Caenorhabditis elegans: one gene and its partners. The protein of the gene in region 1 interacts with the protein of each later gene in a biochemical or structural test. Each region holds a gene or a part of one and is shown in the gene's direction. Other genes may lie near its edges.

Region 1 (9,727 bases):
AAGTAGTTAGTGTTCAGAACTTCTCAATTAGTTGAAATTTTTTTTTCTTTTAGTTTTTAGACGTTTTGTAGCTTTATAGTGAGTCTTTAGATGTGTACCAGGGATATGCGGCAAACTGCGAACGGCATACGCCGTTTGCCGAAAAAAAATTAGGGTTCGCCGAAAAATCCGGATCCCGAACAGCCCTGATGTGTACAACATTTTTAAGTCACTATTTTCTCACACACCAATAATCCTACTTTAAATATAATTTTTCTTTTAAAATTAAATTTCACTTCGTTTTTATGTTTCTACCGACATTGCAAAATCGTCGTAGCATCCGTATCTTTTTATCTACTCATTTTACAATTGTTAGCATTAGAAGACCAGTGGTCCCTCCTCGTGCTCATTTCAATAGTGCACAAGCACACAAGCGATTTCAATATGTGTCTGTGTCTTCTACGTGATGCGTGAGAACAGGCGTTCTTTCGTTTTCACTATTCAACACACTTCCACTCATATCCCAGAGTTGCTCCACGTAGATTCTTATCACATATCTTCTTATCATCAAATAGTGGGACACACACACATCTTATCCCGTGTCCCTCCGTCCCGTCCAGTTCCAGGGTGTCTGAGACCTGACCTGACATTTTGAAAAAAGAAGATACTTAGATATATATTCATTTTGAAGTTTGCAACACCGCGCCGCTCAATGACTTATTACTACTATTGTCCTGTAAGAATGAATGATGAATGACGAAACAAGAAGACGACGGTTCATTTATTTAGTAGGTTAGTTCAAAAAACAATGAAAGAAAACAAAAATTACATGTTATGCGGTGAATTGTAGGGTTTCTCTTTTTGTGTGTTCGTGTGCCTTTTCTTTTCTGAACAGAAATGCCCTATTTCACTGCATTTCCTCCCCTTTTTCACATGATCGACAGATGGTTTTGTTGTGCACAATGCATTGGCAAACATGGTATCCGGAGAAGATAGACGTATTTTTATACGGGGCAGCTGGGTGAAATAGGTCGAGAGTTTAAAAGGTTATCATATTATTGAACGTCTAGGAGTTACATTTCATTCACTTATCTTTTTAATCTATGATGAAATTGAAGCATATCTAGAAACTGGGAGTGTGACTTAGTTAGATTTTCTGAAATCACTACAGGATTTTCTTTGGGCTTCACGATTGAGAAAATATTCAAAATGAATGAAAACTGCTCAAGAAGTAATACAAATAATTCAAAATAAATTTGAGAATGCCGAACTTAAAGTTTTTAACATTTCTGAAAAAAATTAAAAAACTATATCCTCCACTCGATATTTGAGCAAGTGCGCGACTAGTTCTGAAAACTATAAAATTTTTAATTATCCGTTTTTACCTCGAAGCACTTACAATTATAAATTGCAAACCTTTTTAGAATGTCCTGTTTTTTTTTCTATATTTACTTGGAATTTTGTCGGATGTGATGTGTTCAATTTCACAACGGAATCTTTTTAACTTTTAATTTTATACCAAGCTGTAAGACAAAAGTAAATTGCCTTTTTTAGTCAACTTTGCAAACTGCTGCCTGCATTTGCTTTTAGCTATGAGATATTAAACTCTGAAAGAAGCTTGAAATTACAGTGAACCTAACTATCCTCTGATTCCATATTGCCAAAAAGTTGCTTGCCACATTCCCAAGTTCGCCCTCAAAAAAAGTTTCAATTGACAAAGGGCATATTCCCTTGATGCATTGAATATTATTCCAGTGACACGTAGCCTTTCACCTCGAATGTTTTTGTGTCTCTGGTACCGCAAATCTCATTGTCCATTTCCGTTGATCTAATCTAATTCATCATTTTTACCCATCTGGTGTGCAGTTTTCCGGTGCGGTTGTCGGCAGGAAAAGACAAGAGTGCTCTTTTATTTTCATAAATCAATTAATTTTCTTTGCCTTCCTCAGCCTCTGACTTCTGAGTCCAAAAATGGAAAGGCTCGGTTTTTCGGTTTTCAAAACTTGGAAGAAACGTATTTTTGTCGCTTAACCAACTTTAAACTTTTTCAAAAAAAAAACCCCGAAAGATAATATGCTCCATGTCTACAAGGCTTTCAAAGTGTCCAATTTCTGTTGAAAGTTCCCTGTTCTTAGTCTCTATTCCAAAGCACAGAGCAAAAGTTCAGAGTAGGTCAAAAGAGCCGCCGGAGATAAAAAAGATTTCCAAAATACCTGAGGCAGTTGTCATTTATCAGTGATACACGATGAACGATGTTCAAAGGCTGAGTGTCACTTGGACTAATTGCCACACACGCACACTCACAACTCTTTTCATCCAATTCTTCTTTTTCTCACATTTATATGCCAATGGCCTCTTTTTTTGTGCGTTTTTCTTATTGAAGTAATAAATCAAAAAATCGAAATAAGAAAAAGAGTCTTATTGTGATGCGTCAGATAAATAAACAGGTTCCTCTCCTCCCCCGTTTGCAAATGAGCACTCCATTTGAGAGCATATCCACTTGCCGTTCTCTCTGACTCTTTCGACACCTTTCTGTGTTTTGAGATTACATTGGATCTTGGATCTGTTCCAGATTTATAGCTTTGTTTTTTCTTTTCTCACAATTTTCCAATTGACAAGTCACATAAAATAATAGGGAACTGCTATTTGAAAGACTTTTTGGTTTTTGATTTCATATTGCCTAAATGGCTTCGAGGCTAGTGATTTTTGGCGAAATAAAAACCTAATTTTTTTAAATCGTGAGCTCTTTTTGTTTCAACTTTGCAAAAAGTTGGCAATCCCGAAACTAAATTATTTTAAATGGTGAACATGCTACATAATTTTACTACTTTTCTAAAAAAATATATCATTGGTATTCCCCACAAAATTATTTTTTATTGCGTTCATCTATTCAAAAATGGTACTTCTAAAAAAAGGGTTTAACATCAGCCCAAAAAACGTAAAATAAGCTGATAAGCATTATTGACACTTTCCAGCATTGCCCTCATTCATGAACTCTGTCCGTAAGAGTTGTTCATCTATTTGCACATTTCTTATTCAGAATATAGAACTAGTGAATCTTTCCGATAATCCTCCAACCACTTATAAACTGAACCGAAACCGAAACAAGGCAATAAACATTTGGTGAAGATGAGCTTGTTCTTCTTTATTCTGTGGAGACCGTTTAGAGGTGGATAGCTTTTTTTCTAAGAATACAGTTGTTAAAAAACTAGTTTTATAACTTTTGATACAATTATTTTCAATTTTTTAAATAAGGTTTCTACCGTTTTTCTTCTATTACTATTATGCCTATAATACCTTTAAAAAAATAGCTACTTACCTATTTTGAACGGAGGTTTTTTTGTTATTATTATTCTTGTTCGATGATTCCAGTTAATTCATGAAAAGCCAAGAAATTGAATTTTTGGAATTGATAAACTACTAATTTCAGATGAGCAACCAAAAATTTTAAATGCATTGGTCTAGCAATAACGACGGTCTTTGAAAATTATCTTACTATTAGCAATCATATTAATAAAGGAATTGCGGTAATTCAAAAGGGAGCATCTTCCTCCGATTGCTCTTTGGCAACACAGTTTACCTCTCTCGTTTGGTATTAAAACTCCGCACGGGCCGTATTAGGAGTGTAAATACGGGACCAAGTAGTGTGACGAACCCTGCGCACAAGTATCAAGTTGACTCTTCTTTCTTACATTCCTACATTACCACCACCACCACTTTCAATCTTCCGTTTGGTATTCACTGACTTCAACATCTTCTTATTGTGCCAATTTATTTGTTCCTTCGCGTGGTTCAGAAGGTTTCTGAACGCTAGAGCGACGTTTCTTCGGTCAATCCCCCTATAATTACTTGTATTTCCGATGCGATCATATTCCCACAATTTTCTGAATTTCCCATGTTTCATCGGCTTTGAATAGAAACCGAATAGAATTTGACCAGAAAACAAGACGCAAAAAAGTGGAACATTAATGCTATAATTTGATGAAAAACCTTGCTTGTGGAACTTTGTTTCAAGTTTTTACCCTAGGTATCCATTTCTTCGGTTTCAAGTCCAGTTAATAGGATTAAAGCAAGAAATCAAAAGATTTATTTTGAAACTGCCAACTTCCTTTACCGTTCAATCTTTCAATTTTCTTTCGTTTCTTTTACCGATTTAAATCTTACTCTCTCTGAAGGTGCAATGTCGATTGGATTTTCCTGGTTCCGCAGGAGATTCAGCTACTACGAAGATAAGCAACAGTTCTCTGAATGTGCAAATGACGATGAGCCGACTGTTCAATTACAAGGTGTGATTTTTTTTTAACGTAAAATAGTTTTTTATTGTGATTCGATTTTTTTCATATTTGTCAAACTCTCTTTTGTTTTCAATATGTAGTATTCAATTAGAAAAGCAAGCTAAATTTTTTTAAAATGGCTAAAGTTTATCAGATATTAATAATTTCTACTCTCAAAAAACTTAAAAAAAACATTCCCCTAAACTCGACATTTTGAATAAAATTTCGAAAAAAATCCATATAGGAATAAAAATTACTGCCTTCGTGCCTACCAGCTATTTCAAACTTACATACATTGAAGAATAAATACCCAATCCTTGTAAATTTGACCTCAAATGTGACGTAGCTGAGCTTCTGTCTGTTCCATGTTTTGATTCGTAGGGGAGTCGATATTCAACGGGTCATGAAAAATTATAAATTTTATTTTATTTTTCATAACATTTTTATGTTTCAGATTTTATCTAGGTAAATTTAGGAAGAACATATCGTACTGAGTAAACCATTTGAATATTTTCATGAGCATGTTTTGAAGTTTTTCAAACGAAATGCAAAAATCACCTGCAAAACTTTTACCAACTCTTTTCCCATTTTCCAAGATCTTCCGAACTTTGAGACCCACTCATTTAAAGTCCTCACCAAACATCGGTATTACAAGACCAATTTTCGCATCTCCCGATTAAAACTTTAGAAATACATACAAAAAAAGAAACTTTCAATTTCCAAGTCCGATCATCAAGGCACATATTGTTTTGTTTGTTTTACATCCTCTTAACCTGGCTCTCGTGTAACGTGTCGATGTTTACTACAGTTTCCTTTTTTTCTTTAGTTGAGATGACACACATCGAATCATTTGCTTTTCTGATTTTCACCTCTTTTTGATCGAACCATCGCAGTTTTTATTTTATTTTTTGCCCTCTCTCAATTATTATTTACTAAAGAGAAATTGGAACGTGAGATTGTTTAGAAAAAAAAACTGTTTGATTTTATTGAGAAGCTTGTTTGATATGTTGGAAGGAACCTCAAGTGTTCATAAGATTTAGTAGTTGATGAGAACTTGAGGAAATGAGATATATAGAGAGAAGGTGGAGGAAAAGTTTACAAATTATCATTTTGTACGTGTTCGTGTTGTTACAATTCAATTTCATTTCTCATAATCATATCCTTCTCGCTTGTTGCAAAATCCGCATGACCTAATACTAAATCCAATTTTAGGAAACATAACCTCATCCTTTGTTTAGTTTTCTCTTCCTTCCTAAATGTCAATATTTTATTCACAACCTAGCGATTTTGTTTAGCAAGGCATTTTGGGAGCTTGGAAAATTTAGTTTCTCTAAATTCTACAGTCCTCCAACATTCATGTTAATAGTCTTAATTTAACAAAACACTATATCCCAAATTTTATTGTTACACTCATTTAAGTTTTTTTTTCCCATTTTATAAATTTTTTCATTCCATTTTTTCTGAAAACATACAAAATCTAAACAATTATTTATTTCAATTTAGTCAAGTCATCATTTAAACCTACATATACATTTAACTCGAAATTCCAAAATTTCCGAATTTATATAATAAATCCAAATAGTTCACATCATCATAATAATTCAACAAAAGTTGACCTCAAACGCCACCCATGCGCATTTTCATGGATGCCATGCGTATGGTTATTATTATTATGATTTTTATTATGTCCATCATCACACTCCGAAACTCTTTTGATGCCCTTCCGCAGATTCACGCGCCTATTTAAATGTTGACGCGGCAACGGTTTTATTATTGTTTCGATTAGGAAAATTCTTATGTAATCAGCCGATTGCGTAGAATATGAACATTTTGCATTGCATTGTTTTTGTTTGGTTTCAAGAATTTTCTGAAGCATAGGTTACATCATCGTGTAATTAGTTGAAATTCAAAATACAAGGTTTTCCATCACCAAATTTTGAAGACAAAAAGTGCACCACAAAATAATTCTGCCAGATCATAGTCAGTAGCTATAGTTTATAAATTGTAAATTCCATAAAAAATTGACCCAAAGTTACATTTTCTTCATTGTATAGACGAAAAACAAGTGTAAATGAGTTCGTAATCTAAACAAATTGAGTGTAGCAAAGTACTTGGACAACGACTACAACCTCCCATCCAGAAAATGTCATTTGTCAGTTTTCGATGGCATCTTTCCCCCCCCCTCCATTTTCCTTCTTCTCTCAGAATCCTAGAATACCCATCAATGTCTTTTAGTCAAGATATTTCTCGGCCCATTTTCTTGAATGGAATCATGCCGCATTTTCTCAATGCTTTTTTGTTCGTCCTTTCCCTCCCTTCATTCAATGCTCAAAGTGTCAAATATTAGAAGCCACAATTACACCACAATGTGTGTGCGCGGAAAAGTGTGGAGGAGAACATCTGCGACTAATGTTATTCAATAATCTCTCTTCTAATACAAAATATTTGAATATTTGTTATCTGCTGGGTGGCAATGGCGGCGGCTCCGGTGAAAAGCCGGCACTCGAGAATTGTTTGGAGATAAACGATATTCACATTTTCAAAAAATAATTGTTGATTATATTTGATTTCGAATTCAAACCTGCCACTTCAATTCTGTTGCTCCTTGAATCTTTTTCAAGCCAAAAATTTCAATTTGTACATCACCAAATGTTTGATAACACCAAAGACATCCAAGTTGTTAATAACTGAACTTTGTTATTTTGCACAAAATTTCAGAAGAAATATTTTGATTATTTTTTGATACTTTTTGAAGTGCTAGAATCAACATTGAATTTGAGCTAGACAAATGACCAAACCATCAAATCTCTTAGAAAATAAAAAAGTGAAGTCGTATTGACCATATAAACAGTGAACTTATTATTGCTTTGCACGACATTTAAGCACAAATATTTTTGAAATTATATTGTTGATTGCTCAATATATCACCAAAATATCTATATATCCTTGCCACTGAGAATTATTATAAAACTGATTTCGAAATATTTCTTCTCATCAATCGTGAAGAATAAATATAACACCAAGATTCCAGTATTTTATTTTAAGATTTAGAGCAATATATTGTTGTTGTTGTTCTTAATTCTCTGATTGCCTCCTCATCTACTACTCGGTTTTTCGTATTGGCACCATGATCTCGCCCCTTGCGAGTCTGGCGTGATGATTGTGTATTTCTACGCGACAGTTGCGTAAGATGTGCGTGTGATATCCGAGAATTAGGCGGCAAGAGATCAACTGAAAATCAATAGACGCAGAGAAAGTATCGGAAAGCCACACGGACTCTCACACGATGCCGGTTGAAAATGATATAACCGCTCCTTCTGGATTTTGATTTATTCTTCAGCTCATTGATCTATACTTTTCTGTTTAAATTATTATTTTGAACCTTAAAACATCCATTTTACTGTATGTAGCCTTTACAGTTCTAAATTTTGCGCTGTCTTTTCCAAAAAAGTGTGTTTCGAGAAAACAAAACCACATTTAAATCAAAACAAATAAATTATAGATATCAATTCAAGGAGTACGGTTCAATTTCTTATAATCCGAACTTGAAAATCGCCCGAATCACTTAAGATCAACTCTTGGAAAATATACTTGAGCAATCCCGGAAAAAACCTCTGAGCTGCTCCACTCCGTTCATTTTCTTTGCACTTGTCTCTTTCTCGTTCAATACTTTTGTCATTTTCTCTTTTCAACTGATAACTGTTCCAAATCCTCAGTTTCCATCCGGTTGTTTTGACGATTTCTTCTCAATTTCTTCGTTTTGACCGATGACAACCTTTATTTTTATTGCGATTTGTTATGTGAAATAGAAACGATGATTATGGGCAAATCTATAAAAGCAAGAAGAAACGATGAATGTCCTTCATATTTTCTTTTCTTTCGGAATCTTTTTACTTTCCCGAGACTACTGATAATCTCATTAACCGGAGTGGAATGGAAGGGAGCGAATGAACTGTCAGGATATTGTACTTTACGTTCCTCTTTATCTTTTTATCTTCTCACCTGACTGAACAAAACACATTCAATTATATATAGTGTTCCCTTATATTTATATATTTTTCATCTCAGAATTTGTATTGAGAAATTTTTTTGAAGCTAGTATTCCTTGCAAATATAAAAACCTTTTTTTCAATTGGACTTTTGAAGCTAAAAATAATAATAAATGACCATTTCATTATCAAGCCGGAATGAAGAAAATTCGGAACTTGGCGTTAAGCTTTCGAAAATAGTAACTTGCCAGTGATTAGGTATTTATTAAAACTGATAAAATCTAGGTGAAGCTCTTTTGAAACTATATTTAAAAAAACAAGAATTGAGTGAAGCTTTTCTGGCTCAACATTTGCCAAAAGTTCGCGACAGTTGCGTAAACTTCTCAACCAAATTGCCATTTTTGGGTGAAACAAAAATTTAAAATTATGAATTTTTAATAGTACCATTTGTGAAACTGTTATTTTTTGTCTCCTACTCATTAAAATTATAATGTCTGAACCTTAATGACCTTTCTTGACTTCACGCCCAGTTACCCATACACTGACCTTTTTCGAAAATGTTTTATTCCTTAAAATAAGGAAACCAAAACCTGGTTGACTTTTTTGTGACAGTAATTTTCTACTTTGCTGCCCGTTTCTCGTTTACTATTTTCCAATTTTCAATTCAACTTCTAGAATTGATTTTTCCGTACTTTTGTGTGTGTACACTTGTTTCAACCTCTCGAGTATTCTGCCATCTTCTATGACGACCTTTTGTCCTTTTCTTGCATTTACGCCGAACACATGTCCAGTTGTAATTAGTGGTCTCTTTCTTTCTTGTAGGTTAAGAGGTAAGACTCACTTTCCAGTCAAATGGTTACTATAGTCTGAACCATTTATTCACTATTCAGTTCCTTTTATATTTTATTCAATCAAAACGCCAAATCACTACCATTTTATTGACACCGATTTGATTTTTTCGCCCCATTCAAACCAGTCATGCAGATTGTGAGTTTTTTGTTAAGAATTGAAAATGTATTTTATACACTTCAAATTTTTAGCTGCTGCTGCAGAAGTTGGCATTAAATCTAATAGGTAATAAGACACCCGACTTTATTTTCTTCTTGTGTGGTCAGTGCGGTCATTCGAGATTGTTTTGTATACACATATAATCGCAACAATGAAAAGAAAATAAGCAATGTTGGTCAATCGGCAAATTGCCCTCTTAGACACTTTTTTTTTGAAACTTTTTGATATTGTTGAGAAACGGGATTGGATGTTGGATTTAGGGTTGAAATTTTGATTTTAAAATTGAATATTGTCTTCCCGGTAGGTATTCAAACTCAAATAATGTAAACTATGGTCGTAACTTGAAATTTTCGGTTTTCACTTTGCACCAGCTGCGTTCATTTTTTAGAACCATTTTTTTGCAATGAAACTTGCTTTCACTTTCACCACTCGAGTTCTGCAATGTATTATATAATTTTGAAGTTATTTTAAATAATC
Region 2 (13,026 bases), on another chromosome or scaffold:
CCTCATACCAATTGCACATCATACTGTCCTGTGCTCCATTTGAATTAGAGAGCATGGGAAGAGTTAGAGACGCAGACTGACAGGTACTGTATGACGCAACTCCATCATTATAATGTGCATGTTCATCGATTTCTGCCTTTTTCGGGTTCAGCTTTTGAATTTTTTTGCTTCGAAATTAACGCTATTTGCCAAAAAATTGAAAAACGTTTCTAGGTAAAATTAAAAATCGACGATGTAGATTTTGTTTTCTGAACTAATGTGTGAATTGTATTTTTTCTTGTAATCATTGAAACTATACTTTTTCCGTTATTATTCGTTTGATGCTTTATTTCTCTAATCTTCGAAACGAAATTTAAAAAAATATTTATAAAAATTGTGTCCAAGTTTAGTCACGGTGAGTTAACATTTTTGCTATATCGTAATAGTGAGGTCTCCAAGGTGGGTAGGCAGGTTTTTCTGCCTTTCTCAGGCCTACCTGTCTGTCCACTGCCTAACTTTAGACATAATCCACAGTACAGGCAAAATTTTTTTTGGTAGCATTTTGAGAAAAATTCTTTTTAATCTAGCGTAAAAGTTAAATTTATCTCAATCTCGTTTTTGACGGAGAATAGCTCGGTTATTTGTAATTTTAGTCGAATTCAATAACGAAAAAATTGAGCAAAATTTTCTTTACATTTCACATTTTGTAATTTTGTATTATAATAACCTGACTCACTTGACTGAGCCGCGTTATAAGCCTTCCGATTCAAGAGAGCAACTGGAAAATCAAAGGAATTTTTAATATTTTTACCCCAATGTTACTTGGTTATTCAAAGTAAAGTTAACCCCATTTTGTTCTGACTTTTCATGACTTTTTCCCACGGTATCATCCATTCATTCATTTTTTTCCCTTAACCTCACTCTCTCTTCTTTTCATTTTTGTCTGTCCCGTCATGCCAGTCATCCGTGTTGGTATAATTACAATATGAAGCAGCGTTCGTTCTTTTCAAGGACAATTGCCTTCTTTTTTCTCGTTGTTCCATGAATTCCATATATTCCAGAGAAATTGAATCGTCGGTGGCAGAGGATTGAAGGTGGCAGAGGAGAGAAGGGGAATGTCAACTGCTGTAGATCGACTTGGTAAGCCTTTTCACTTTTTTTAGAAACAGTGTCACCAACTGAGTTTTGAAAGAAATTAGATTACTGCTTATATCAAATTATTTTGAAAAAAAAAAATTGGAAAAAGTTAGATCCGAAAAATATATTCCAAAACATGAAACCCCACCAATTTTCTTTTTATTTTCCAAACAAAAAAAATTACAAAAAAAAATCATTGGGTTTCTATTTGTAATTTGACGTTCTCAATTGAATTACAAAAAGAAATGAAAAAAATTAAAATCCAAAAAAATTTGTCGAAGAATGTCCTTCCATTAAATTCAAATGTCTGCCATATCATAAATGACGTAATAATACCTGAATATTCGAGAGAAATGAAATATGATACATGTTGAGATTCAAGAGGTCCCTCATGCACTTCTTGCTCACTTATACGCTAGGTTCTAGTTTAAACTTCGTCTATTATCAGAATTTGGCAATACAAAATTGTGTAAAAATGTTTTAATTTCAAGACAACATATGCCCCTCTATTAAAATTTGAAATCACCCCCAAAAAGGAAGGTGTGTACTGCGTTTTGACATTCAAATCTTTCAATATTCACAAAAGTTTAATATTTTCCAAATTTTTTGCATTGTTCCTTGTTCCAATATGTAAAAAATATTTATTCTGTGCAATTTAATTTTAACTGCAAGAGGTGCATGAAAACTGGAGGGAATATTGTAATAAGATAAACTCTGGAATTTTCAAAAACATGATCAATTTTGAATATTTAACATTATATGTCAAAGTTTGATACAAAATGCATACCAATTTGATGTGTTCTTCTCAAAACCCACACTTTCTTCGGTCTCAATTGTATCCTCTCTTTCTCTTTTCCTTCTGTTGTACTTCCTTCCCTTCTACTTCATTCTCTTTTTCTATAAAATCTTCTCTAAAATCGTCGTTTTCTTCTTCTTCTTGATCATTTCCGCCCACCTATCACTTTTTCCCTCATGATGCCCGCTCACTTGTTTAGCAACACGAACAGCTGTGATTTGCCTCTTGCCACTGATTCCAATCACTTTTCTCCTCAGCTTTTTCTATTGATATTTCAATTTTTGTTTCATATTTTTGATTTTTTTTTCTAAATTTGGCTCCGCCCATTCATAGATGTCTGTGAACTCCTTCCTGCTCCGTATAGAATTATTAAAGTTTTAATGGTATAGAAGAAAAACTAAAAATACAATTCAAAGTGTTGAATAAAAAAATAATTTATATATCTATGTGTCTACTTACCGTCTATTTTCTGAATTTTTTGTTTGAAGATTTACGAATTTCCCCGATTTTGGTAATTTCAAATTATAGAATTAAATGTGAAATGTTCGCGTACAAAAACGGGTGTATACAAGCTGGCATTTTTTACCTACTTGCCTTAAAAACTTGAATCTTGAATACGGTACGTGGTCCCGAAAATAAAATTGGTGACCGAATTTTCTTACGGGACAGTGTAAAAAATTATCCCATATTTTAAGAATTTATAATAATTTTGTTTTCTAAATTTTCCACAAATTCCGTCTTCCACAACTGATCCCTAGGTACACTCTCCTTTCGAAACCTACTTGAAACATTTTGCAAACTTTTTTTCTGTTTGAATTACGATATGCTCGTATGTGTCTCTTCGGATCTCCATGATCTTTTCAAAGTCATTTCGATGGTTTTATTTATATCCGTGGCGGCGCAAACTTGTCATCAAAAAGTTAAAGCATGCGGTGGGAGGCGAGAGACACTCTTGACGCGTTTTTTTGTTTTACTGTGAGCAGATCTCTTGAGTCTCTTGGAGACTTTTTTTGCTAGCTTCACTAACTATTACAAGACATTTTAGAGCATAGTTTTCTTTCTAACCAGTGGAGAGTTTTATCTAGAGTCTTTAGAGCCAGTACCATTAATAAATTTCATCAATTGTATAGAGCCACATTTTTAGAAACTGTATCATTTTTAGATCAACCGTCGTACTTACTATCTTACGGCAGCCGTTTAGTTACATTTCAATCGAATTCAATTCGAATTCCCTCAAGCCTGTGTACATCTCAATCTCTTCCTCCCGCTCATTCTTGATTCAAAAACAAAAACTTTGCCTCCATTTCTTCCCGCTCTTTTCTATGTGTCGTTTATGTGTCTGTCTCTGTATCTCTTTAACTTTCACACTATTTCCTTTTATCGTCTATCTCTTCTCTTTTTTGAAGAAACTCCTAAAGATTAAGGGCCAAGATCATGAAGAATTCCCATGTTCCATTTTCTAGTTTTTCCTTAAATCAAATAATATTCTGGTAAAATAATAGTTTCAAGAAGTTTCAAGAACTTCCAAACAACTTTCACAATATACCGTAGAAATTCATAAAAGTTTTGACATTTCTCATTTTTCATGCATGATTGGCATGTTCCTTTAGTACTCGATCCGGTTTCACAACACCGTTTAAAATGTGATCTATTCAAACGGAATATGTGATTTCAATGTATCTCTTGTCATAGGGAGACTTCTGCTACTTGGCCGAGAAAAGGGATACCTCGGTCATCGCTTTCTTTGGCGGTCATGTTGCTAATAATTTATTTAGATTTTCCAAAAATTTTTTTTTTCGAAAAAGAGAGATTGGATTACTAGATTGGATTACTGATTTGACTTTCAAGGTTTTTTTAAATATTTCCTCGTTATCGATCCCTTTTCCAAGTACCAATTATTTCCAGCAACCTGGATTATTTTCTAATTAAATTTCAATTCAATTAGCAAAAACATGTACTAGGAATATGTGTAATTGAAAAAACTCTTAACGAACTGAATTGCATAAAACCATTCCTATATGTTGCTAAAATGTCCTAATATCATAGAAAACGGTTCAAATGTTTTTTTAAAATAGTGTAGTCAAAAAGTGGCTAGTTCTCACCTTCTTAATTTTGGAATTCTACAAAAAAGTTTTTTTTTCACAATTTTAAATTTGAACCAAAATTATCTTAACACTTTTTCACAATTAAACTAAGTTTTCCTATTGATCAAGCTTTAACTAATATCAAAATGATCATTCCTATTCTGAGAAGCAAATTAATCAAATTAAAATATATGGAAAGTAGACATATCTACATTAAAAAATTTTTTATGGGAAAATAGACACTTCTAATTTAAATTTTTTTAATGAAAAGTAGACACTTCTACTTTAAAAATTTGAGAGGTGAAGTGTCTACTTACTATTAGACATCCTTTTCAATATTTTAAAAACTTAGGCTACTGGATTATTTTCTGAGGATTCCTCATCAAACTGTAATTTTTATAAATAAAAATTTGTATTTTTGTTATCCAGATGCTATTCTTTTTTCAATGTTTTGTACTTCTTTTATGTCATCTCCATAAATCTTTTTTCCTTCTCCTCCTCTTTCTTTCTTCCTTTTTTCTTTTTTTTTGTCGGCTTCTTCATCGTTTTTTGTCTTCTTCCTCCCACTTTTTTCCACTCACTCACACATATTTTGACACATTCTCTCACATTTTTAGTGGTCCCCATACACATGCATACACACTCATCTATTATTGCACTTTTCCTTCTTTTATACACCCTCATTGGTACCGTTTTTTACTATTTTGAACATCTTGTTGTAAATTCGATCAATTGATAATTTGTTGATTTTCCGAAACTTGACTAAGCCGTCGGGTTGCATTCTGAGGTTCTGAAATAACTGAATTTTGGACTTTTTATAAAATCCAATTACATTATAACTTCTAATAAAGCTCTTTCGTCCGCCTTTTAATTGTTTTTTTCTTGATTTTCTCCTGAACATTTTTTGAATATTTCAGTAAGAATGCCAAGCGACGATCGTTTTGCGGATGCGGTTAAACCAGCTTTAGGTACCCAAGAACTTTCTAATGGAGGCTTTCCGGTGGAGAAATGCTCCCAGTAGTAGTCGTAGTACTAGTTTGGAAATTATGAGTTTTTTGATTAATGGGAAACTTATTAATATTTGGATGGAATTATCATAATTTTGAAAATTTATATGATTTTCATACTTGATAGTTTTCAATAATAAAATTCTTAAAAAGTGGGTTTTCACTTTTCAATTTGAAACATTGAAGAGTTCAAATTCTGTAATTGAAACAAAAAATAAATAAATATATTATTTTAATTTCAGAAGCCCTTCTATCGGATCTTCAACACACCACAGAAGTGCTCCGCCGTGCTCATATAAGTGATCGCCGCTCACAGAGTCGTGATGATTTTGAGCAATCCTATGATCTTCAGGGAAATCTTAACACACAGAGGTTAGTTTTTTTTTAATGTTACAAACCTTTCCATACATGTTTTAACATAAACTAAACATCTAATATTTGTGTCAGTGTGAGCAATGGAAATATAACCACTTCACCCTACAAACGTCGTTCGTCAGAAGGAAAAGATTATTCAAAAAGTCAGGAAAGGATTTATGGTTTGTTTTTCATGTAAAGAACATTAATATGTAATTGTATCTGTAGAAAATGAATCAAGACTTAACCCACCAGTCTATTCACGTCCAAGTGTCCAAAGTCTATTGTCTCAAGTCGAAGAACCACCAATTCGAGCAAGCAGGTAGGAGAAAACGTTTTTTGTTTTTTTGAAAACATTTTTATCTTCGGAGTCATATTTTGAAATTCGTGGCCTAGAAAAACCTTTTAAAAAGCTATACTATGAGTCAATTTAAATATTAATTTCAAATCTTCTGATTTAATAATTTCAAGAATCTTGCGATTAGGATTCTTAAAAGGAAAAATTTAAAAAATTTTGATTGGCACTTTCAAAAAAATCTGTAAAACATTAACATCTTACATCTGAGAATGCGAAAATATAAATCAATGGCCTAGAACACACAAAAAATGTTAGACCAACAATTCAGAATTTAGAATTCTATTAGGCATTTTAATTCGAAAATTCATAATTTTTTGTAGCCTAGAAAGTTCACTTAAGGCCTCGACATTTTTATAAGATTTGTTGAAAATTGTTAATTTTTATATCAACATTTTTTGTGCATCTTCAAAAAAATTGAAAACTTATGTATATCACGAAAATTGGTTCAGATATATATTTTTTTAATTTCTAAAAGCTTTCCAGACAACAAAAGAAAAATGGCCTTTAAGTTCCAAAAATAGCTCCGAAAATAAAAATGTTGAAAATATAAAACTAGAAAATTCCGATTTGAAATGGTCAAGCCCGTTTATCAAAATGCCAACTCCGTGTTCCATTTTCCCGCCGGCTCTTAGGTCATTTCCCGTGTTTCTGCGTCTAAAATCCCGGGAACAAACAAAAACTCAAATGTGAAGGGAAGAACGAGAAAAAAGACTAATAACATACACGCATATTACTTCTACTCGTCTCATCCCGTGTCGCAAATCATCTCTTCTTCCCCGGTACAGAGGAGGAGCCGGTTATTTTATTTTTCACTGAGTTTCTTCGTCTTGCTCAGTATCTCTTGAGCTCAACAGGGGTAAAATGCTGTAGGGCGGGAGAGTACCTACTCTCTATCAAGTGAGAAAGAAAAATATAGAGAAAAGGAGCAGCACACCTTTTTCTTTTCCACGCACACAACACTTTTACCTATCACTTGGCGGAATGATGCGCGAGTTGCAACAACGGCTTGACCATTTCAATGGTCCAAATTATGCACAAAATAGTCATTCAAACCACCAACAACATCATTCGGTTTATAGCTCACGCAAGAGTCTCGGACCACCAAGTCAGGCACAATCCTACTCTGATGTCGTAAGTTTTTATTTCTTTTCGGGGGGAGCTTCTGGGAAGGGAAACTGAAATGTTTTCGTTGGGAGACCTTAATTAAAAATGTCCTTAAATTAGAATTTTCAAAATCCCAGAATCTTCATTAAACTTTCCCAATCTCTACAAATCTAATTCCGGATATTTCTGTGTTCACAAATTTTAAAACCTAATTTACTGATCCTGAACGATATGTATTCAACTTAGACGCAAACTTTATGAATTTGTAGTTTTTCCTATTTTGGTCACATGACTACAAAGTAGAAAATTCGGTCATTCTTTTAAAATAAAGGTTTCTTGAAATTTTTGGGACTTTTTGAAATAAAAATAATTTCAAAATGTTTTTTGAAATATTCAATTTACTGTCAAAAATTGGCAATTACTCGGGTTTTGCCACTGGTAATTCAAGAAATCCACCAGAATATTATTTAATTTTTGTTCAATTGTTCTAAGTTGACCATTTCTTGACAAAACTTTCAAAAATCTCAAGAAAAAATGTAGAGTGTTTAAATATGGTATTAGGTCATGATGGACTATTACTAGTATGGTTTATCAAAATCCACAATTCTTTCACTTAAACGTCATTGCTCCAATTTGAAAGATCATAAAAGATTTGGCAACATTTCACAACATAGTCTCCTCATTTAATTTGAATACATTGCTCATCTTGCTTGTTTTGTAGGATTCCATTAATCCCAAATGCAAGCGTATCCCCATAAAATTCAGATGCTCCACTACTTCCTCTGCTTCTTCTTTTCCCTTATTTTCATGTTCTGAGAGCAACTATTTGTCTCCCTCGTTTTCGTCACATTTTTCAAAAACTTTTCAGTTTCATATTTTACAACATAGTAAAAGGAGAGGAAGCAACAAAAAAAAAACGAAAAGTGGAGCGAAATTTCTGTTTGTAAAACCTTCTTTTATTGCCGCGTGGCTCTTTCTTTTACGTGGAAACACGTGCTAGAGAGTATGTGAGAAGAAGAGACACAGACGAGCTCCACGAGCAAACAGTACGGGGGGCTTCTAGAGGTTGAAGCGGGGGTGTAAATGAAGGTGAAACGATGGGAATAGAGAAAGGGAGATATTGTTAGCTTTTCCTTGGTTTTTGATGAGAAACCTTTTGGAATGAGGTCATATGGAACGATTTTTAGTGTATTTTGATGACTATTTGGGAAGGGGATCTAAATTTCGAAATTACAAAGTTCGGGTTTACAGAGGATAAATAAAAACATAGGGAAAATACTTCCATACCCCGCTATCAAAAACAGAATGACCTCGCTAAAAATACGCCGCGGCAATTTTACTAATTTTTCACAGAAAGTTTCCAAAAGCATTCTAGAAATGGATTTGTATACTTTTGTGTGGTCTAAAAGATCATTACGTAAATTAGAAAATAAAAATTACCCCGTTTTTTTGGCATATTGCACCTTTTCTGTTGCCACTTACCAATGTTCAGTCATTTTTCATTTTATTAGTTTTTCAGCTTACTTTCCGACAAAAACCTTTTTCCATTAACTATAAGTAAATATGCCAATTCCAACAAAACATACACACACAAACATAAATTTGTCATAATGGTCTCGCAACGAATGAAAACACACATTTCCAATCGTTGCCCATATACATAAAAACGTGGAACTTATAGAGATCGAACGGTCGGTCTCCATCAAGAGACCCACTGCATTCGGATTCAATGATTGGAACAATGAATGGAGAATTGAGCTCAAAACATGGAGTCAATACAATTCCAAAAGGAGATTGTGCTGCCTGTGGAAAACCGATTATTGGACAGGTGAGCGTTTTAATAAAACAATTCTAGAATATGTGAAAAGTTCTAGGATTTATTAATTTCGCTGTGTATTACTGTTTGGCATCCTGAAATTTAATTCTGATTAACTGTGACGTAGGACAGTTCAAAATAATGTTCTCGCGGTATTTAGTTAAACTACGAGACTCTAGAAATTTCCTCAGAATAGTTTTAAAAAGAATTATTAAATTTCAACTTTGGAATGTCCAGAAAATCAAATTTGAAAAATAAAACCATTTTTCAGGTCGTCATTGCTCTTGGCAAAATGTGGCATCCGGAGCATTACACTTGCTGTGAATGCGGTGCCGAACTTGGACAACGCCCATTCTTTGAGAGAAATGGACGTGCTTTTTGTGAAGAAGATTATCACAATCAATTCAGTCCAAAGTGCCAAGGATGTCATCGAGCCATCACTGATGTAAGTGACGTTACAAAATTCTTAGTCATAAATATTTGGTACAATTGGATAATAGTGAATACAGAATATTGTGCATGATTTGTAGTATTTCCAGTTTTGAATGTACAACGAAAAACGCCGATTAGTGGAGTTTTGCAAAAATTAATGTGGACACAAGTTTAATAGTGTTTTTTTTTGTTAATCATCTTGAATATATTTTCATGAAATAAAAATGATTAGAGAAACAAAATTTAAGTTTCCAGAGATGTGTGAGTGTAATGAACAAGAACTTCCACATTGAATGCTTCACGTGTGCAGAATGCAATCAACCATTCGGAGAGGATGGATTCCATGAGAAGGTTGGTTAAAAAAATCCGTTTGAAAAGCCTTTCAGTTTACACTTTCAGAATGGACAAACCTATTGCAAACGTGACTTCTTCCGTCTATTCGCCCCAAAATGCAATGGCTGCTCTCAACCAATCACCTCAAACTTTATCACCGCTTTGGGAACTCATTGGCATCCGGATTGTTTTGTCTGTCAGGTATTTTTAGTTCATTATCATTTGTTAAACAAGGAAGTCAATTCAAAAATTAAAGAAACCATCGAAAACCGATTGTGCGGTATGTTTCTTGTCGGTGTCTCTCTATTCGTCTATTCGTTTCGTTTTTTTTTTCTTACCCCTTTTTATTTTTAATGAGTGGAGCAAATTGGCTTGTGTGAAGTGCCAGAAAATATTATAATGAGAGGCTTTTCGTTGATAGTATGCTGCAGTGATAGAGTTTTGTGGTTTTTTTAATAGTAACATTTGAAGTTAAAAAAATAAAACTATATAAAACTAACTATAAGTGTTAGGTTTATATATTTTTAATTTTGAGCCAACTGACTGAGTTCACATGGGACCTATAAAATGTGCAAATTTACAAGTTTGATTGAACCTTCCAAAACTTCATATTAATAAAAACCTTGACCCCTAATATATTTTATAATACCATTAAAAAAGATGTTTCGGTTTTTCGGTTTATTGTATCTTTCCTTACCTAGTCGATATAGACATAATTAAGCATGAAATATTTTAGAATTATTCCTTTAGCTGTAGTCAATAGTTTTATTTTTGGAATAAAATATTATTTTTATTTTGGTGTGTCATCTGTAAACTTCCCTAAATATATGTGGATTGTTCTTTACAGCATTGCGGAGTTTCTTTCAATGGTGCAAGTTTCTTTGAGCACAACGGTGCTCCACTCTGTGAGCGACATTATCATGAATCTCGTGGTTCAATCTGTTCTCAATGTCGTGGAGCCATTAATGGAAGATGTGTAGCTGCAATGGGAAGAAAGTTCCATCCGGAACATTTTAGATGCTCATATTGTAATCATCAACTGACAAAAGGAACATTCAAAGAAGTTGATCGTCGGCCATTCTGTCATAAGTGTTATAATAATACGTATGCATTGACTCCTGCCTAATCTTTTTTTTTCTCTTTTTTGTCTCTCCTGTCTTTTTGTGGTTTTTCAAGTTTTTTGAAGGTGGTAACTGGAAAAGATAATTCAGTAATAGTTTAGAATATTAGGCTTGGATGAAATCGAATATAATATTTTTCTCTTTGAGATTTTCTAGTTCTCTAATGCCATACTTTTCAAAAATTTAAGTGTCAGCTAGCCTAAATCCATAGACTTCAGCTTGACATACAGGATTAAGCCTAAGCCTAAACCTATACCTTAACTTAAATTCCAGTCTACTCAATTCAAAAACCTTCCACCTTACCACACGTCCATTGTATAAAATATGAAAAAAAAAAGTAAATCAATTTTCAAAAAAAAACCAAAATTTTTATTAAAATTTCTACGCATTTCAAAATCAAAATTTCCTCCCCACCGCCATATCAAACTTTTCCCCCAGTCACTTTTTTTCTCAACTTTTAATTGCATTTTATCGGTCCCCCCACCCACCCTCCTTTATCTTAAAAAATGCTCAATTTCATTCAATACAGGGCAACACTCACTTCGCACAACAATGCCCAATGGATGTCACTTATTTTGAAGAGGAAAATGCTTATTGATATATTTTTCCCTGTCTCAATTTTGTTTTGATATCTAACTACCTGCTAATACTTTTTAAATTTTTAAATAAAGTGCGATTTTTTTAATTGGATTTTACTTTTTATAAAATGTTTCAGGTGACAAATGATTTTGATTATTTTGTAGACGATTTTTGTGAAGTTTTTTTTAGTGAAATAGAGGTAGACCTTTTTAATTTTAAATATTTTCAAAAGTCAAATTGAAACATGCATTTTGCAAATTTGAAAATTGAAAAAAAAAAAAACTAAAATAGTCACTGTCCAAAAAATTGTACAAATTATATTTGTTTGAAGCGTGGGACGGCTAACGGTAACATCAATTCTAAATCGGCGAACTTTGTACCGTAATTAAACTAACTAAAAATTAGATCAAAAGATTTACAAAAACGGGGGAGGCACTTGTGTTTGCAGGATGCTGAAAAACTGAAATGTTTGTACAGATTGATGTTGGAATTAATTCGAAAGGACACAAAAAGGCAAGTGTAGTTAAAAAGTCTAGTCATTCGAGGAATAAATCTTTTTAACTTGGAAGCTTTCAAACGACAAGAATTATGATTCGAGTTATTACAAATGGTAAGTTATTTCCTATTTCTGAAGACTGAGCAGTGGTGGGGTGGTCCACAAAACTTCAAAAAACTCTCTTAATTGCGCATTTGTAATTGTTTAGCTATTAAATTATGAAAAACTATTTTTATAAATTTTATATTAAAATAATAATTTACCTATACTCTCATTGTTCGGATTTCTCATTTAAAATTTAAACAAGTAGGCAAGAGTAGTCAAGGATTTTAGAGTTTTTGCTTCTTTTTGGTCATCAAAGGGAAATGCAACTACTGGTGAAACTTTAACCGTACTAATATTCGAAACACTTGCATAAGTTCGGAGAACAGTTTTATATTTCCGAAATGTACCAGAAAGTCATAAAAACGGTTTTTAGACACGCTTTTTATATTCTACGAAAATTTGTTCAGAACCGTCCTATATGGCTTCACGGTGGATGCACAACTTCAAAATGTTCATAATCCTATTTTTGTGCTTCACTGTTCTTTTCATGTTGTTCTATCCAGATTATAAAGTGAGTTTTGGATATTTTTTCATTTGAGAAAAACACCCCAGGCAACGACAAGTTTTTAGTTTGTACCAGTGATCTTTTTGAAACTTCCTTGAAATTTTATCAAAAAGAGCTTCCTTTAATTTTCCGGATGCAAAAGTCATGTAGTTTTTATATTTGCCGAAGCTACCAAATTTTTTGTTTTCACGGCCATGTTGCAAAAGTGTTATTTGGCACTAGGGTGGGGTACGGTAAATACATCTGTGGTTAGTAGCTACTCAAAATTTGTTCTTCCTACCATTGAATCTTTACAAACTGATGTTCAGGTACACCAATTGAGTTCATATAGTCGTGAAACTTCGCTTCCAATCACCAAAAACAGGCGCTTCTTGGAAGCAGCCGACGAATGGAAACAGTGCTTTCAGGAGAAACTGAAAAGGAGCAGAACCGATCCAAAAGAGGTTTAAATTGAACGATGATCCTGATATGACGTCATAATTTCAGATGTGGTACTGGGTGAAACGTGTGATTAATCAATGTAGAAATGAAACTGCATTTTCGAAAATCGAATTGACTGGTGTAAAGAACAAAGATGAGATGAAATATCATGTGTACAGTCCATCTCAGGTTTCTCAATTCCACCACAAAAAAACCAATTTAATTCAAAATTTGCCAGGAACCAAGTGTAGTAGTAACTCTTGGCATTGGTTTGGATGTGAAAGCAGAAACAACACTCAAGGAAACACTTCCGACGAATTCCCGATTCTATGCCGCCGATCCAATATACACTGGAAACGGAGAACTTTACGAACCTGTTGGGTCGTATTTCCCATTTGCT
Region 3 (9,401 bases), on another chromosome or scaffold:
CCTGTTGACGCAAAGTTGACGGCTTTACACAGTGTACATTGAATATGACTGATATCTCTCTTGATTGGCTTGTGATGCTGTACACTGTGTTTGTATCTTTTATCGAACATGTGAGTTCTATCGTGTCTCTGTAAAATATTATTTTTTAGCCTTTATTATATTATCTCAATTATTGTTGCGAAAAATACGGTACCCGGTCTCGACACGATAAGTTTTGTAAAAAAATTAAACACGCGTGCGCCTTTAAGAAGTACAGTAATCTCAAATAAAAATTTGATTTTTCAGCACTTTCGGCGATTTTTCATATTTTTTCTTATGTGCAGTTTTTTTTTTTAATTTCAAATTGTACTTTTTTAGTTTTTCTTATAAATAATTATATATTATTCGCAAAAAACATATAAAATTCAATATTTTTTTTCCTAAATTACAGTACCCTTCTCCAGGGCTGTAGATATTCTTTTTCGATTTTTCTTCGTGGACTGGCGAAGCCGTATTTTTTTATAATGTTTTTTAAAACAAAAAATTCTGATATACTGAAAAATTCATAAATTTTCAAATTTTACTTTTTTTGGTAATATGACGAATTTCTACTTTCTTTAAAATTTAAAATTCTCACACAAAAAATACTCACCTGTACATAATAATATTCCGGAAGTGCTCTGTTGCATTTCCCATCGTTATAATCTTCATTGAGGTGTAGCTGAAACTGATTGTAGCTGTCAAAAGATCCTTTACAATTGAAACAGAACACTCCAGCATCATTGTGACCGAGACATTCAGAAGATTTCAAAGTCACTTTTGGACGAGGTGGCTGACTTGATGGAACTAAAACATCTTTAATCGGATAATGTGGAGTATCATCTTCAAATTCTTGTTCTTGAGCGTCGTAAAATCTGCAAAAATCTTGAATTACTTTTCTGTTGAAAAAAGAAAGGGAAGACTCTTGAAAAAGAAAAGACAACGAATACGGAGGTGCTAATCGAGTTGAGAGTCACTCTTCTCTCTTTTCTCATCGTCTTCACCACTTCAGTTCAATTTCAAACTCACTCTTGGTCTGGCTCAGAGTCTAGTAATTGATCTATTCCAGGATCTTCTTCTATTTCAACTTTTTTCGGTGCAACTTTATTGGGTCTTAATGTTTGTTCTAACACAGCCATAGCGTTGAATCTCCATTGCTTTTCCGAATTTGTAGCCAGTTTTATTTCTGAAATTACTTTTATAAGGATTATTGAGAATAATAAATTATTCGTACCATTCGTAACGTCATAATCTGCAAATTTTCTCGATTCTTCCTTCCTCGCAGCTTTTCTTTTTTCTTCCTTGTCACAAACATGTTCTTTAATGTGCAATAGCGTACGAGAAGCAAGTCTACAGTGATCACAGAAAAATGGAAGAACTCTTGGTTTCAGCTGCTTCTTGTATTTTCGAACTAGATTCACTGCAATTCGATGGGAAGGGCTTCCACTGTTCCATCGTTTTGGACGGCTGAAAAATAAATATTTTAGAACATCCCCGAATAACAAAGATTCAAGCATGACATACATCGAATAAAACACATTACTCCTCTCTTTTCTTCGTTTCTCTTTGCTCTGTCGAAATATTACACTGGTGTGAGAGCAAGAACACATGCTATCGAAGTCCAGAGACTTCCGATCAATACTTTTTTACTGATATTTTTTAAATAACTAATTGGATTTAAATGTTCTTCGATTTATAATTCTTTTAGAGTTTTTTCAACTCACCTTAACAAAATTCCACGAAGTGACGGGTGCAGAAGATAGGCTGCACCAACTGGTAAATCGCGAATCATGAGCTTCCGATTATGGGGTCGATGCATTTTTTTCTTCTGCTTCTTGCTGGAAGCCATCGATTCTAGAGGAGGTCGTCGAGGCGGAAAAGGAAAGGGAAAGAGTAATCTGCAATTTGCACAAGTTGCAGAATTTTCGTTGGTTCAAACGGTTTTGTCAGATAATAGAGCGAGTTTCAGAAATAAAAAAAATGATACAAAATTTGAAAGTCTTTCAGAGTGCTCAAATCATAACTGGCTCTCACTTCAGTCAAACATATCGGCTTGGATACAAACTACTTATCATTTGCAAAGCTCGTGGAGATCCTAGACCGACAATTAAATGGTATAAGGAAGGTGCTGAAATTCAACCAAAAGCTAGCATTCACGTGAGTCATGTACAGTAATCCGTGGGTTAACTGCTTTACTTGCAGTATTACGAAAAGCCAATCGAAAATGATACAATTTGGAGTAAATTAGAAGTTGGTAAGTGAAAATTGTTGTCAATCAAGAATATCTTTAGAACCCTTGCGAAAAATGATACAATATGATAAGAAACTTTTTTGTCACTGTCAGCAAATTTTGGAATTTCGCTCATTTCTCTACAATTTTTTTGCCATATTCAGCGCTTTTTAAAGTTTTTCTTCTTAACTGTGAGCGAATGGCAAACTACAATAACGACAGCTAAATATACGACAGTTGTCATATTTTCAGATCCGGCAACAATGGGCGATCAGGGTGTCTATGCATGTGTGGCTAATAACCCGCACGGAGTAATGGCAAAGAATTTTAAAGCAGAATATACGTATTGAATAAAGATTTTTCACAAATCAAATAATTTTCTCTCACCTAATCTATATCATATAAACTTGCGAAGGAATGCGTTTGAAACCTCCTCCTTCTGTTGCGTGCAGGCGCACGAGCGACAAAACAAACAGTGTTTGGGAGTGAGAGAAGCGGGATGAACAGGTGTGCGGTGGCGGTAAATTCGAGTGAAGGCGGGAATGTGTTCAGAATGAATACAGAAAAAGAGCTGATGACGTTGTAAACGAAATTCATGAACGAAAAGCAGGCACATCTCGCGCGGAAAAGGGAGGAGACGCGGCAGGGAACCGGATTGGGGGACTATTGATCGAACAATAAGGAAGAAGAGAAGTACGCGCCGTCGGTTATCGAAACTCCAAATTTTTCTTCTTTTAATTGGGAAAAGTATTACGAACATGTAATTTCATGGAATTCACACGGTTTACAATGAAGTTATCAAGAGAAAATATGCAATTCTAAAAATTTAGGGCAGATTGAATCGTCGATTGGATTGAAGTGAAAGAAGAGAAATAGAAATTTCGCGAGTGAGATTCAATCGGAGCATTGTTAGAATTCTATCTAGAAATGTAAGACAAAAAATACGAAATAGCATATTGAAATATAAAACCTTAAAATTAAAAAGAAGGCAATTTTAAAATTAATTTTACGAAATACAATTGAGAAAAAATGGAAAACACAACGGATTCAATCGAAGTTAATATTCTAGAGATGGTATTTATAAATTGAGGACAAATATTCTGCACTAGGAGAAACAAGAAAAAAGAAAGAAGTTTCTGGCTGGCAATCGTTCGCACAGGAAAAATAAAAAACTAAAATGGCCGCCCGTCTGTTAGCATGGAACGGGTTACGCTAGTTATAGACTAAGCTTACATACAAAATATGTATGTATAATATCCTCACAGCGTAACAAAGTGAGATATAGTTTAAATTCTAGATGATGACTTTAGAAATCCTATTTGGTGGTTTTACGAAGTTTACAGCGTCATTTCTAGACTGAAACTGACCAGTCTGGGATATCATTTGTCTAATCAAGTACTCTATCTAGATAACTGACCGATCTAATAAGTTTTCACGAGTTACGGGACCTAAATTTGAATCCAATAATTCGGTGACGACTGGCGACCCTATGTTAGATGTAGTGATGTCTCCATTCTCTCAATACTCTCTCGTCTTTTTCTCTGCGTATCTCACCACTAGCGTAGTCTATGAGTGCGAGCGGCCGCGTCGCGGTCGTCTTTAGGCTCGCCGACAAACTGTCCACCATCTTCTTTTTTTCCTTTTTTCGCCGTGTTCAACAAAGCTCATTCACGCTTTTCGTTGTTTTACAGGCTTTTATTGTTTTTTCTAATTATTGATTATTCATTTATAAGAGCAGAATTAATCAATAAACGTAGGTAGACGATCGAAGTATCCTATCAGTTTTTAATTTGATAAATTTTCTCGAAAGGAGCAATCATGTTTTAAATTATTTAAAAAATGGTCCGCTTAAGTTTGTCTGACTGTTTAACAATTATTGAAATCATTTTCGTGACATTTTATTGAACATTGCTTCCAAATTCCCCTAACATAATCCTGACTGAGATGTTCCAGTGTTTCATGTCGAATTATTCCTATTTTTGTACCTTTTCTTAAATATAACTAGTTTCAAATATATGCAAGTTGTTTGGTACGGAAAACCGATTCAAACTTCCGACCAGTTACCGATGAATCATTGCCAAAATTCCTCATCTAAAGAATTATACGCACAAGTTGTTTTGGCCATTTTGCCTTATTTCTTCATCGTTTATTAAGGCGTTTACCGTTTTTTTTTCTTGCTCTTTCTTCGATAATTATTGCTCCCAATGGTAAAGAAACGCTCGTGGCATTTCGAAAGAGACTATTGATTTTCTGCCTGATGTTTCGCAATTCGTTTTCATTCTCTAGTTATCTCTCCTTTTAAAACGTGTGCGTGCACATTTATGTGACTCATCCGTATTTTTCACTATAAAGACGTAATTTTAATACTTTTATTCATTTTTTTTTTCAGGCGAAATGCAGACGATCAAGTGCGTCGTCGTTGGAGATGGAGCTGTCGGTAAAACTTGTCTCCTGATCAGCTATACCACAAACAAGTTTCCTTCTGAGTATGTGCCGACAGTCTTCGACAATTACGCCGTAAGTTTAAGAAAAAAAAATTATTTTATATAAAAATAATTTCCGAATTTCAGGTCACAGTAATGATCGGTGGCGAGCCATACACATTAGGATTGTTTGATACTGCTGGACAGGAAGATTACGATCGATTAAGGCCTCTATCGTATCCACAGACCGACGTGTTTCTTGTTTGCTTCTCCGTGGTTGCTCCAGCTTCATTCGAGAATGTCCGAGAAAAAGTAAGAAATATTGTTCTCGAATTTATTCTATATATCTGAAATTGTTTTAGTGGGTGCCTGAAATTTCGCATCATTGCTCAAAGACCCCATTCTTGTTAGTTGGTACTCAAGTCGATCTCAGGGATGATCCAGGAATGCTCGAGAAACTGGCAAAAAACAAGCAGAAACCAGTGTCAACGGATGTTGGAGAGAAGTTGGCAAAGGAATTGAAAGCAGTGAAATACGTTGAATGCTCAGCGTTGACGCAGGTGAGTCATTCTTTCCAAAATAGTCATTGATAATATTGAAACATTAAAATAAAATATCATCCAATCCACGAAACCTAATCAAATAATAAATTTTTAAATATTAAAACGAGGCTCTTGTGGAAATACGTGACACTTTAAAATATAAATATCACTTTTCAGTTAAATTGTTGCTTTATATTTAGCAACGGTCATGTTTTCGGGAAAAACGAACAACCAGAATTCTGTTTTTATTGTGCAAAAAATTATCTCCTGAAATGCTCTATATTCCGGCTGAAAATACCATAGTTTTCATATTATGTTGATTAAAAACGCTTGTATATTGAAGTTTAAATAGTTTATTTTCAGAAGGGACTGAAAAATGTATTCGACGAAGCCATTCTGGCCGCTCTCGACCCACCACAACAGGAGAAGAAGAAGAAGTGCAATATTCTCTAGGAACGTCTTCCTTGTCTCCATGTTTTCCTCTGTTTTGTGACTGTGTTTTTCTTTCTATGTCCAAATTTTCTTAGCCCCCGACTTCCACTCTTCTCATACTTCTAAATTTCCCTGAAAAATGCCAAACGAGAAGCGGTTGCTGTTATTTTTGACAGCATCATAGAAGATGATTTTCTTCAATTCGTCTCCTGTAACTTATCCAGTAGAATCTCGATGAGCATGATTCCAGAATTTTTTAATTGTTTCGTATAGAATTTCGATAAGCAGGGCAGTTTATAGTTTCTCATCTGTTTTCGAATTTTTATCGAATAATCCCCTCGAAAATTTTTAAAAGTTCATCCAAATTAACTATCATTCTTTTCAATGACACCTCCTCTTTAACATTTTCGTCGTCGTTTTTATTTTCTTTTTTATCCCAAAACGTGTTTATAGTCCGGATACACCGTTACGTAATGCGCCTTCTCCTTTCCCATGGTTCTTTTTATAATTATATAATAGGTGTTGTATAGCACAACCAACTACATCCCGAGTCGCTTGTTTCTTCATTTGCTGCTCAAAAATACCGACCAGTTTGTTTTTCTTCTTTCCTTTTTTTTGTGCTTTTCTGCCTTCACACATCCATTTCCCATTTTAAACTGTTTTCTCATCCACTACGTTTTGTGTCTCCCTCCTCCTTTCTCCAGAACAACTCTGTATTTTAATTTTTCTACATATTGTTGTTATATATTTGCGATCCAAAACAATAAAGGTGTGATATAAAAAATTAAGATGTTTATAAAAGATCTTGAAAAGTATACAAGTGGGTGTTGTAGAAAAAGAAGAACCGGAACCATAAGGCATTGAGAAAAATAATTAATGAGTGGGTGAATTGGAACGAAAAATAATTATTATCACTGACAAAAAGTACTGTTTGACGAGGAGAGGAACATAATCACCGTGTATGAGGAAATGGGCTTCAACTAGAAACGATAAGAGAACATAAAATAGAGGCAAGGATGACTAGAATTAATGAACAAATTGACAAAAAATGAAATTATTTCACTTCAATCAAATGACGAAGAGATTTTGGAGTACTTGAATCATTATAATGTTTTGTTGTGAAACGAAGACCAGCAAGTAGACAATCAGACTGAAAATAAAACAATTAATATGGGTTGCTCAATTTTATTCTAATTTTTATTATGGAAGCGCAGAAAAATGCTCATTTTGAAAGCGCGTTTGCAATCGCGCTTTACGGACAAACTGTTGGGTCTCGTTAGGTATTCGCAGAAAACTAGAAATTCGAACATGTTCAAACATTTTTCGTCTGCTTTAAATGCTTTCCGCTATTCTTTTAAATTAATTTCAGTCCGAAATTGATGAATTAAAATTTATAAACGAAAAAAAAATTCGATTTTCATTGTCACATGCATTTTTAAAATAATAATTTTGAAACAAAAATCATTAAAAACAACTTCAAATTGTATGAATTAATGCTGTCAATTCCTAACGAGACTCATAGTTTGGCGTTGGAGCGAGCTTGCCCCTTCATTTCATTTTTCTGCGTCCCCATAATGTTTGGAAAACGATATAAGCAATTTTCGCTCTACTACACGAAAACTCTAAATATGAAAAACGCTTACCTGTTCAGGAGTGGTATTTAGTTTGATCAACCTGACAACATCTCTCATATCAATTGATGAGTTTGACACGAATGCACCATTTTGATCTACGTGATCGAATAATATTACAAGGCCAGTCATCACTCGACAGCAAAGATGTTTCGATGAATCTGTCAGTCGTGCCAGACATTCGTCATTTGCTAACATGAATCGGCAAACGCTGAAAATTTTAATACAATTTTATTTTACCGTAACTCATCATATCGTAACTCATGACTGATCAGTGAAAAAAGTAGTTGAAAATCACTATTAAAGTGCAAAAATGACCAAGAACTTTCCAAAAAAAGTTAATGTTTCATTTGCAGTGAAAAAGAAGATCAATTCATAATTTTGGAAGTATTTTTGAAAGATTTGTCAGATTTCCAAAACGTTGACTGAAACTTTTCATAACACTAAAAATTATTTAATCACGATATTTAAAAGATTTCCATTTTCTTGCTTGTGTTCCATAAATTGCGGATGGAGTTTACGATATATTCCAAAAGTATGTTTTTCAGTTTAATTTATAGAAAACTCACTTGATAATTGTTACAAAAACATCAGTTGTATTGTTAATTGGCAAGCTTTGATGTGTCTGCATGTACGAATCTACACCATTACAAAGTGCTTTTAACATTGGATTTCCTTCACAAAGAAACATTTGAACTTGTGGTAATTCGGGAACTCCTTGGTCTCTACAAATTTAAAATTATATTAGATTGTTTCAAATAAATTAAATACTTACTCAAAATCCTGATAAACAATATGTTTTGCTCGTCGGTAATAACTGTAATCATTTGTTATCTGGGCGGTTCTCATCTGAAATTAAATTTTTTTCTTTAATTGGAAAAGTGGAATTCATACTTTTACGACATCAAAGTCCAATACAAATCCAATTAATCGTGCAAACTGTTTGGCAATTGATTGTTTATTTGCAAGTTGTTCTTCGAGAGGTAATGGGCCAGATGATAATTCCCATAGAATTATTGGTACGATTTTTTCAATTTTTGCAACATGTTCATAGTAGGAACATGTTCTGGCAACAAATGGTTCAAGCTTTGTCATTAAAACTTTTAAAGCTTGAGTATCACTGTCATTTTTTAATTGATTTCTTTCTGCATAGCAACCTGAAAATTGATGTTACAAGTCTACTAAAAAATAAAAATCTAACGTACCATTTCCATAACTTGATACATCAGCAAGTACTAAATCACAATCATTTAATACTTCTTCAGCCATATTATATATTTCCCTTTCTTCATCTGTTGGTTGTGCATTTTCAAAATCCACAAAAATCTCGACCCATTTTGAATTATCATCTGCTGTTGATCGTATAATTGATCGTATCATCTCAAGACAAGATGCATCAGATTCTCGAATATTCGACGGCATTCTGCGAATCATTAAGCTGAGTATTGAATAGTATTTTAGAAGTGAAAGTTGGAAAATAAAAAGAAAATAAGCGTATAATTACACGATGATCACATGAAGATTATAAGATGCCGGAGAAAAGTAGTTGAAATGGGGGAAAATGGAAAACAAAAAAACTGGGAATCTTGAAAACAAGTACCATCTGGAGTTGAAAGGGAATGAAATCAAAGTGTTCGAAGGAGAATCTTAAAAATGGCAGCTGGACGATAGCCGGACAAAAAAGCTGGGGAAAGATGCACCTGGTACAAATTGCAGCTGTTTCAGAAATTGCTGCGAGTAAAGTAAAAAGGTCAGTGCTCTTGGTGCACTTTAAATCTAATTTTAAAAAAATTGTCTTGGTACATATATAATTATCCAAAATGACAAAAATGAATTTTTAGATTTTTGAATAATAATGAATTTAGGTTAATTTTCGAAAACTTGGACTTTCTGACAATGAGAAGTTTAAAACAGTACTGCAACACCTGGGATGTTGGAACAAATATAATTTAAATATAACAAAATATGAACTCGTATCTACGAAAATTAAAACAAAAAATATAACTTTGGCATTTGGACATTTTAGCACCATAAGACGGTAATATTTGTCGCGTCTAAAATTTAAAAGATTTCAAAACTTATAGTCAGATACCATGGCTACACTATCAATTGTGAAAAACCAAAA

Evidence for each region.
Region 2: the proteins of uig-1 (region 1) and pxl-1 form a complex in vitro, tested with the Caenorhabditis elegans proteins (one study listed by BioGRID).
Region 3: of the proteins of uig-1 (region 1) and cdc-42, one has a biochemical effect on the other in vitro, tested with the Caenorhabditis elegans proteins (one study listed by BioGRID).

What each region holds. Positions count from the first base shown.
Region 1 is NC_003283.11:13,286,825-13,296,551, reverse strand, and holds the start of uig-1 (Protein vav), read left to right. Parts: upstream 1-4,159; coding exon 4,160-4,265; intron 4,266-5,835; exon of another isoform or gene 5,836-5,985; intron 5,986-7,375; exon of another isoform or gene 7,376-7,524; intron 7,525-9,727.
Region 2 is NC_003281.10:5,887,899-5,900,924, reverse strand, and holds pxl-1 (Paxillin homolog 1), read left to right. Parts: upstream 1-4,913; 5' UTR 4,914-4,918; coding exon 4,919-4,964; intron 4,965-5,245; coding exon 5,246-5,375; intron 5,376-5,450; coding exon 5,451-5,539; intron 5,540-5,585; coding exon 5,586-5,679; intron 5,680-6,638; exon of another isoform or gene 6,639-6,696; coding exon of another isoform or gene 6,697-6,794; coding exon 6,795-6,846; intron 6,847-8,500; coding exon 8,501-8,647; intron 8,648-8,906; coding exon 8,907-9,080; intron 9,081-9,322; coding exon 9,323-9,418; intron 9,419-9,466; coding exon 9,467-9,601; intron 9,602-10,247; coding exon 10,248-10,526; 3' UTR 10,527-10,652; downstream 10,653-13,026. Other genes in the region: C28H8.8 (uncharacterized protein), read left to right, coding at 12,150-12,212, 12,515-12,649, 12,693-12,815, 12,865-13,026. UniProt on the Caenorhabditis elegans protein: Required for myofilament organization of the pharyngeal sarcomeres and for pharyngeal muscle contractions and hence for pharyngeal pumping. Together with lin-8, might be required for myofilament organization in the body wall muscles.
Region 3 is NC_003280.10:7,611,815-7,621,215, forward strand, and holds cdc-42 (Cell division control protein 42 homolog), read left to right. Parts: upstream 1-4,637; 5' UTR 4,638-4,642; coding exon 4,643-4,765; intron 4,766-4,818; coding exon 4,819-4,983; intron 4,984-5,033; coding exon 5,034-5,231; intron 5,232-5,576; coding exon 5,577-5,666; 3' UTR 5,667-6,431; downstream 6,432-9,401. Other genes in the region: R07G3.7 (uncharacterized protein), read right to left, coding at 1-128, 632-893, 1,048-1,204, 1,253-1,485, 1,743-1,867; Immunoglobulin domain-containing protein oig-4, read left to right, coding at 1,809-1,976, 2,026-2,175, 2,221-2,272, 2,501-2,598; R07G3.8 (CYRIA/CYRIB Rac1 binding domain-containing protein), read right to left, coding at 6,700-6,795, 7,289-7,487, 7,846-8,001, 8,052-8,125, 8,171-8,433, 8,482-8,698.